Linked DNA regions of Arabidopsis thaliana. The protein of the gene in region 1 interacts with the protein of each later gene in a biochemical or structural test. Each region holds a gene or a part of one and is shown in the gene's direction. Other genes may lie near its edges.

The links.
Region 2: the proteins of MUR3 (region 1) and FT1 form a complex in vitro, tested with the Arabidopsis thaliana proteins (one study listed by BioGRID).

What each region holds. Positions count from the first base shown.
Region 1 is NC_003071.7:8,790,365-8,795,217, forward strand, and holds MUR3 (Exostosin family protein), read left to right. Parts: upstream 1-1,574; 5' UTR 1,575-1,990; coding exon 1,991-3,850; 3' UTR 3,851-4,037; downstream 4,038-4,853. Other genes in the region: AT2G20380 (Galactose oxidase/kelch repeat superfamily protein), read right to left, coding at 4,454-4,853. UniProt on the Arabidopsis thaliana protein: Involved in the attachment of the Gal residue on the third xylosyl unit within the XXXG core structure of xyloglucan, the principal glycan that interlaces the cellulose microfibrils in plant cell wall.
Region 2 is NC_003071.7:969,493-974,164, reverse strand, and holds FT1 (fucosyltransferase 1), read left to right. Parts: upstream 1-1,748; 5' UTR 1,749-1,811; coding exon 1,812-2,088; intron 2,089-2,364; coding exon 2,365-3,764; 3' UTR 3,765-3,920; downstream 3,921-4,672. Other genes in the region: AT2G03240 (EXS (ERD1/XPR1/SYG1) family protein), read left to right, coding at 1-47, 126-262, 373-472; AT2G03230 (GCK domain-containing protein), read right to left, coding at 790-1,248; FUT2 (fucosyltransferase 2), read left to right, coding at 4,045-4,333, 4,398-4,672. UniProt on the Arabidopsis thaliana protein: Involved in cell wall biosynthesis. Is both necessary and sufficient for the addition of the terminal fucosyl residue on xyloglucan side chains, but is not involved in the fucosylation of other cell wall components.

The sequences.
Region 1 (4,853 bases):
ACTATGTAGTAGTCTAGTGGGACAAACGACGTGACGATATCAAGAGGGTACAGGATTAAAAGCTATGAAGTACGTTACCAATTACAATCTCAAGATTCTCAACCACCGGATTATAACTACAAGTACCGATTTGGCGATTTGACGAATACAGATCTATCAATTAGCTAGAAATTTTCTTTCCATGCATTTTCCCACCCTCCCATTAGATGATGATGATTAGAAGACCACGATCTCATTGGTGTTCACTGATTCAAGAGCATTTCAAGAGAATATAATTCTTAATTATGAATTTGTTCAATAATTAATCCCCACCCCACTTTTCCAAATCACCCTTACATGTTCACCAATTGTAACAAATAATTAAAGAATCAAAAGTGATTTCTTTTTTAATACTTATTGTTGGGAAATACTTAATGCTAGTCCATAACTCTCTTCAATTATTTAAAGGAGGAGTAAGTAAGTTTTTTTGCAAGTCCTTTTGTGGTATCCATGTGAGTTATACATTGGGGAGCACAAACTTCCCCACTCCCACAAGCCACGTTTGTCGCTTAAAGTTTCTAAGTTTTTTTAATTTTCGCTCTTTTTGGTTTGTTATTTATGAGTGTATGGAAGTGGAGTCTCCCCCTTGAACACTTCAACATTTACACTACTAATCCCGACTTAGACGACAAACATTTTTTCTAAGTTCGAATGTAATTCTCCTAATTCGCTTTGACCTGTTTTTGAATTTTATACTATTCAATTTTAATTTAGATATTTATCTACTTTAGACTTGTAGAAAATTGTTTTCAATACGAGCATATTTATTACCTACTATGGAACCATTTACGGATTTACCACCATAAATTAGACACCAGTATTCATATAAACTATCTCTAATTTTGAATTTAAACAAACGAAAACAAAACTTAAATCTTCAACTGGCTAACAAAATTTTACTCATCAATAAAACAAAGCAGTGCATTTTGTTTTGCATTCTAATGTCTCTTTTCTCTTATTCGACCTACATCAATAGTTTCATACAAACAAAGTCATTTTGGAGCATTTTTGGTCTTTGTTTAGACTTAATTATTTATGTAATTAGGTTTGCAAAAAGGCTAGTCATCTGCTTTATGCTTACTGTCAATCCGTCATCATTAGTTGGACATCATGCACGAGATTTGGTCTCAACAAAAATATTAACCTATTTCTACACAACATTCAAACTAAGGCAGTCAAAACTTATGTACTTATTGAAATACTAATTGATTAGCAGAGAGACGTTAAACAATGAGCTTGAACTTGAAGTAATCATGTTACAACGTGTTTTGGTTCATGCTTAGTGCTTACCATCAAATTCTGCGATTTGTGTTATTTCCAACGTATAGCATGCTACAAACCACTCACATGATTACACATGGAATCGTACCCACACGCTCGTCGAAATCGCACGTTACGCGCGAAACTGAGTCAAAGAGGTTTATATCTGACGTCATCGACACTTGAAACCGACATGTTTTCACACGTGGCAAGGTCCCACTGGTCACCGACAACTACAAGAAAAAACTGCCGGCGCAGATTTAGCCGTCCGACTAACGTGCGCTTTCAATTACATTATACAGAAGTCTCTCTTTCTTTCATTGACGGTGATGAAGACCAGCTCAAAGCCAGGTCAAAATCCATCAATCCTGGCCTCATCAATGTTAAAAATCTTTACTTTCACACATCTCTAGATCTTCCATAGAAGGATCAATCAAAAGCTGTAATCTTTCTTTCTTCCTCGTAGCTCCTTCTCTTGCGGATCCTTGTCGGTACACTTCTACATTCTCAAATCTGATTCCTTTCTGGAGTTGCTCCTGAGCTACGGTTCAGCTTCAATTACTTCGATCTCGTGTAAAAATCACTTCTAGAAGCTTTGATAAGCTTTGATAGGAGTTGGTTTTACTCTTTAGGGTTTTGTTTGAGTTTGATCTTTATTGTATAGATGTTGTGATCTTCGTACACTCTATATATGTTTCCAAGGGTTTCTATGAGGCGTCGCTCTGCTGAAGTTTCTCCTACAGAGCCAATGGAGAAGGGAAATGGAAAAAATCAGACTAATCGAATCTGTTTGTTGGTTGCTTTGTCACTCTTTTTCTGGGCATTGTTGTTGTACTTCCATTTTGTTGTCTTAGGGACTAGTAACATTGATAAACAGCTCCAATTGCAACCTAGTTATGCTCAATCTCAGCCATCATCAGTCTCTCTTCGTGTTGATAAATTCCCTATAGAGCCTCATGCAGCTCCATCGAAACCACCTCCCAAAGAGCCTTTAGTTACTATCGATAAGCCAATACTCCCTCCTGCACCAGTAGCCAATTCTAGTTCCACCTTTAAGCCACCTAGAATTGTTGAGAGCGGGAAGAAACAGGAGTTTTCGTTTATAAGAGCCTTGAAGACAGTAGACAACAAGAGTGACCCTTGTGGAGGGAAGTACATTTATGTTCACAATCTACCCTCAAAGTTCAATGAGGATATGCTTAGAGACTGTAAGAAGCTTAGTCTCTGGACTAACATGTGTAAGTTCACAACCAATGCTGGCCTTGGGCCGCCGCTTGAGAATGTTGAAGGTGTCTTCTCTGATGAAGGTTGGTATGCGACTAATCAGTTTGCTGTTGATGTGATATTCAGCAACCGGATGAAGCAGTACAAATGTTTGACAAATGATTCTTCCCTTGCTGCTGCCATCTTTGTGCCGTTCTATGCTGGATTCGACATTGCTAGGTATCTGTGGGGATACAATATCTCGAGAAGGGATGCTGCTTCGCTTGAGTTGGTCGATTGGCTCATGAAGCGGCCTGAGTGGGATATAATGAGGGGAAAAGATCATTTCCTTGTGGCGGGTAGGATAACGTGGGATTTTAGGAGATTGTCTGAAGAAGAAACTGATTGGGGCAACAAGCTTCTCTTCTTACCGGCTGCCAAGAACATGTCTATGCTTGTGGTTGAGTCGAGCCCATGGAATGCTAATGATTTTGGGATCCCGTACCCAACCTACTTCCACCCAGCAAAGGACTCAGAGGTTTTTGAATGGCAAGACCGGATGAGAAACCTGGAAAGGAAGTGGCTTTTCTCGTTTGCAGGAGCCCCACGACCTGACAATCCGAAATCTATCAGAGGGCAGATCATTGATCAATGTCGAAACTCAAATGTTGGCAAATTATTAGAATGCGATTTTGGGGAGAGCAAATGCCATGCACCAAGCAGCATTATGCAAATGTTTCAAAGCTCTCTCTTCTGCCTGCAGCCACAGGGAGACTCTTACACCCGAAGATCGGCATTTGACTCAATGCTTGCCGGTTGTATACCGGTCTTCTTCCATCCGGGTTCAGCCTACACGCAATACACGTGGCATCTACCCAAGAACTACACAACCTACTCGGTATTCATCCCCGAGGATGATGTTCGGAAGAGAAACATAAGCATCGAGGAGCGACTCCTCCAGATTCCAGCCAAGCAGGTCAAGATAATGAGAGAGAATGTCATCAACCTCATCCCAAGGCTGATCTACGCAGACCCGAGATCAGAACTGGAGACGCAGAAAGATGCATTTGATGTCTCGGTACAGGCTGTGATAGACAAGGTGACTCGGTTAAGGAAGAACATGATCGAGGGCCGAACCGAGTATGACTACTTCGTGGAGGAGAACAGCTGGAAGTATGCGTTGCTGGAGGAAGGCCAACGGGAAGCAGGGGGCCATGTGTGGGACCCGTTCTTCTCCAAACCAAAGCCCGGAGAAGATGGCAGCAGCGATGGTAATGGAGGCACGACTATTTCAGCAGATGCAGCTAAGAATTCATGGAAGAGTGAGCAGAGAGATAAGACACAGTGAAAAGAGACAGAAACCACATTTTGTTACGGTTTTGATATAGTTTTCGGTTACTATTTATACGGACAAAAAATGATTTATTTTTGTTGTATTGGTATCAAATGTAGTTTCTCCAGTTTCATAGAGATAAGTTTGTTTGTATCAGTTACCCACAGAAATTAATAATAAGAAGTGACCCTTTTCAAGTTTCTAACTGAAGACAGTGCCTATGTTTAATTTCGTTTGCATTTGACATTTTGCATTTGCAACACATATTCAGAACTAAAAACGGACATTACCCGCTAGTCTCATGCATCATTCATCAAACAGTAGCAGACCGAGTTTGTCATCAAAGGGTTAATCAAAGAGACAGACAAGTCCCGAAATAAGCTTAATCATCTACAAGCAAGTCAATGCCAGATATTTATAAGCAAAAACAATGTCAGGCACTAAAATAACTCACTAAATAAGCTTAAACCATCATCCTACAAAGCAAGTGACTGCAGATCATATTTATAAGCAAAAACAATGTCAGGCACTAAAAGAAAAAGAACTCACTAAATAAGCTTAAACCATCATCCTACAAAGCAAGTGACTGCAGATCATATTTATAAGCGCTCAAACCTGTCAAACAGTAGCAGATTTAGCCCCAACGAATTGGTAATACTTAGGGACTCTAAGAACTGCATCGAACCACTCGATCTTCCCCCAAATCTCTTTCTTGCTGCGCTTTTCAAGGGAAATTTCTGCGCACCAAACCATCTTCTCCTCATACCCACTTGCAGGCACATACTTGTGCCACAAAACAACCAGCTTACCACCACAATCCGCCAACTTAACACTACTATATCTAGCAAACTTAGGTAGCCCTTCTAATCCCACTAATGATCTCCAAACTCCTCCCTGTCTTCTTCTCCATCTAAACTTTACACTGGGGTCATAATGATAGGTAATCTCCTCTATCATGCAAAAAGAACCTCGACCTAAATCTGTATTGACCGAAAATCCTAACACTTCATATCCTTCC
Region 2 (4,672 bases), 7.8 Mb from region 1:
GTGATAAACTCCTTGTCCCGCAGAAGAAAGTATACTTCATCGCGATGGTAAGCACAAACTATAGAGTAACACAACATTTGGAATCCTAGTGCAAAATTGATTCTTAACTTTAAAAACATATGCAGATCTTGAACATCTTGCTCAGGTTCGCGTGGCTGCAGACCGTGCTTGATTTCAATTTCTCCTTCATGCACAGACAGACGATGGTTGCTGTTGTTGCCAGTCTAGAGATTATCCGCCGTGGGATATGGAATTTCTTCAGGTGAGAAAACATAAGTTACTGCAACTTTTCTTCACCATGTATTAGCGCTATTTACTGTCACACAACATATGATATAACTTTCTTGGGGATTTGTTTATGCAAAAAAACAGGTTAGAGAATGAGCATTTGAACAATGTTGGGAAGTATCGAGCATTTAAGACGGTTCCATTACCGTTTAACTACGACGAGGATGACGATAAAGGCAACTAGTTTTCTCGGTTTCTAGTCTTAGATTCTGTAAAGACTGATTCATCCACAACGAGTAGGAGGAAGATGGACTAGACTAAAGCTGGTTCATTGAGATCAAGGAGATGTTTCACTCAGGATAACGGATATTCGCTAGATTAGCCATAGTAATTAGGGTCACTGATTTGCACTTAAAATTTGTTTCATTGAGAGAAACATGAAATTCATGGGCATCAACAAAGCAATGACTTAAAAACCAAATTCTCCCACAATAACAAAAGTAATAATCAGAAACATTCAAAGTATCAGAATAACTTAACCAAATAAATTCTAATAATCGCTCACTTTCCCTTGGTTTCTTCTTCTTCTTCCTTCTTCTTCGCCGCAGCGGCTGCCTCCTCCCCTTGTTCCAACTCCTTTAACGACTGAGTCCGCATCTCTTTCTGCATTGCTAGAAACGGTCCGTAGTAATCGACGTTAGTATACATACATGTAATCAGCTTCAATCTAGCATCTCGACAGTTCGTGCCGTCATCTTTCACTTCCCTACAATGATCAACTTCTATGAATGCATCTTTGCAATCACCTTTTTTCAAATACCGACTAAGCCAACACTCTTCACAATCTTCTTCCTCTTTCTCCTTGTTAGTCTCACTCAAATCATCATCAGAACTTACTGTTTTGGATTTGTTCGGATCTTCCGAAGCAGCAGATGAATCTCCTCCTTCATGATCCAAAGGGTCGTTACCGCTTTTTGGTTTGCTCTCAGAATTCTCAGCATTCGCATTCATAGAAGACATGGTTGTTTGATTTTAAAAGACGAAGTTAGGTTTGAGAGTCAAGAACACAAGTGGGAAGCTTAAAACCCCTCCTCTTAAACCCTTTAGTTATGTCGGCTTTTAAGTTTTAGGAAATAGTTTCGTTAAAACCTATTCTTGGAGAACAAGTGGTGGTATTCTTGGAGAACAATTTTTCTTTTATGGTATTTTAAGATTTTTTTAATTTTAAAAATGGTATTTTAAGATATTTTCTCTTTAATTATCTTATTACTTAAAATTATATACATTATTTTATAAAATTTTGACATTTGTAATTTTTTAAAGATTACTGTAGTAAAAATTTGACAGTCCTAATTAGAAGTAATTAAATTTTAACATGGTTTACTTTTTCTAATATTCACTTGTTACAATAGGGGTCAAAATATAACATTACAAAGTTTATGGTGTAAAAAGTAATAATGTAGAAGTGAAGATATTCAATTGAAATATAATTTTATTACAATTAAACCATGTCGTGGAGACATGTTCTGAAATAAAGTTATGAAGTCGGTGAGTGACTTTAGAGTCTCCCTCAAGAGCAATCAATGGATCAGAATTCGTACAGGAGAAGATCGTCTCCGATCAGAACCACTACCGGCGGTTCAAAGTCCGTTAATTTCTCCGAACTACTTCAAATGAAGTATCTCAGCTCCGGTACGATGAAGCTCACGAGAACCTTCACTACTTGCTTGATAGTCTTCTCTGTACTAGTAGCATTCTCAATGATCTTTCACCAACACCCATCTGATTCAAATCGGATTATGGGTTTCGCCGAAGCTAGAGTTCTCGACGCCGGAGTTTTCCCAAATGTTACTAACATCAGTATGTGTTCTTCCAAGTCAAAGTTTTGAGCTTTATTACTTTAGATCTCGTTCTTTACACTACGCATTTGCCTCTGTATGTCCATAGCTCTTGGTCGATTTCAATTTGAGATCTATACTCATAAAAATTGAGTCTTTGTCAGTCACAAGACTACTATTTTTGGTTTGATGTTGTTTTGGTGAAAAAGTGCTCTTTTGTTTTGGTCTCAGCTTAGACTGTTACATTCGTTTTTTCCGAGTTTTTTAGATTTTGTTCTGATTCTGTTTTGTTTTGTAGATTCTGATAAGCTTCTCGGAGGGCTACTTGCTTCTGGTTTTGATGAAGATTCTTGCCTTAGTAGGTACCAATCAGTTCATTACCGTAAACCTTCACCTTACAAGCCATCTTCTTATCTCATCTCTAAGCTTAGAAACTACGAAAAGCTTCACAAGCGATGTGGTCCGGGTACTGAATCTTACAAGAAAGCTCTAAAACAACTTGATCAAGAACATATTGATGGTGATGGTGAATGCAAATATGTTGTGTGGATTTCTTTTAGCGGCTTAGGGAACAGGATACTTTCTCTAGCCTCGGTTTTTCTTTACGCGCTTTTAACGGATAGAGTCTTGCTTGTTGACCGAGGGAAAGACATGGATGATCTCTTTTGCGAGCCGTTTCTCGGTATGTCGTGGTTGCTACCTTTAGATTTCCCTATGACTGATCAGTTTGATGGATTAAATCAAGAATCATCTCGTTGTTATGGATATATGGTGAAGAATCAGGTGATTGATACTGAGGGAACTTTGTCTCATCTTTATCTTCATCTTGTTCATGATTATGGAGATCATGATAAGATGTTCTTCTGTGAAGGAGACCAAACATTCATCGGGAAAGTCCCTTGGTTGATTGTTAAAACAGACAATTACTTTGTTCCATCTCTGTGGTTAATACCGGGTTTCGATGATGAACTAAACAAGCTATTCCCACAGAAAGCGACTGTCTTTCATCACTTAGGTAGGTATCTTTTTCACCCAACTAACCAAGTATGGGGCTTAGTCACTAGATACTACGAAGCTTACTTATCGCATGCGGATGAGAAGATTGGGATTCAAGTAAGAGTTTTCGATGAAGACCCGGGTCCATTTCAGCATGTGATGGATCAGATTTCATCTTGTACTCAAAAAGAGAAACTTCTACCTGAAGTAGACACACTAGTGGAGAGATCTCGCCATGTTAATACCCCCAAACACAAAGCCGTGCTTGTCACATCTTTGAACGCGGGTTACGCGGAGAACTTAAAGAGTATGTATTGGGAATATCCGACATCAACTGGAGAAATCATCGGTGTTCATCAGCCGAGCCAAGAAGGTTATCAGCAGACCGAAAAAAAGATGCATAATGGCAAAGCTCTTGCGGAAATGTATCTTTTGAGTTTGACAGATAATCTTGTGACAAGTGCTTGGTCTACATTTGGATATGTAGCTCAAGGTCTTGGAGGTTTAAAGCCTTGGATACTCTATAGACCCGAAAACCGTACAACTCCCGATCCTTCGTGTGGTCGGGCTATGTCGATGGAGCCTTGTTTCCACTCGCCTCCATTCTATGATTGTAAAGCGAAAACGGGTATTGACACGGGAACACTAGTTCCTCATGTGAGACATTGTGAGGATATCAGCTGGGGACTTAAGCTAGTATGATTTTTTGTGTGCCTTACTCTGTTTTTGATTATTTGATGTATCATGTAACTTCTTAAATTAGCTTTAATAAAGTCAATTTTTGTGCTTTTGACATTTTCTCTTAAAATAGATAAAACAAGAGCATAAAGGTTGAGTTTTTATTACCAAAGTCTCAGTTTTTTTTTGATGATCTTTTGCTTATTCTCTTACTCTTCCTATGTAACAAATGAGGAAAGTAAAAGGGAGAGATCAGATTTGATTTCTTTTTCCATTTTTGTTTAGATCTTAGGGTTTCTGAATAATGTATCCCTCCAGAAGAAGATTATCTCTTTCCAGAGCCATTGATCAACAACCGGAAGATCAATCAGGAGTCCAAGAAAAGAGTTGCAGATTCTTAGGAGCAATGAGAATCACAGAGATCTTAGCTTTGTTCATGGTTTTAGTCCCTGTCTCGCTAGTAATCGTAGCCATGTTTGGATATGATCAAGGAAATGGCTTTGTACAAGCATCTAGATTCATAACAATGGAACCAAATGTGACATCCTCATCAGATGATTCATCACTAGTGCAGAGAGATCAAGAACAAAAAGGTAAACTTACTTTCTTCTTTTTGTTTTGAAATGTTTCTAAATTTTTCTTTGAATGTTTCATCAGATTCTGTAGATATGTCTCTGCTTGGAGGGCTACTTGTATCTGGTTTCAAGAAAGAGTCTTGCTTGAGTAGATACCAATCTTACCTCTACCGTAAAGCTTCACCGTATAAACCTTCGTTGCATCTACTTTCGAAGCTTAGAGCTTACGAAGAGCTTCATAAAAGATGTGGACCGGGAACAAGACAGTATACCAATGCAGAAAGATTGCTTAAACAGAAACAAACAGGTGAGATGGAATCACAAGGATGCAAGTATGTTGTTTGGATGTCGTTTAGC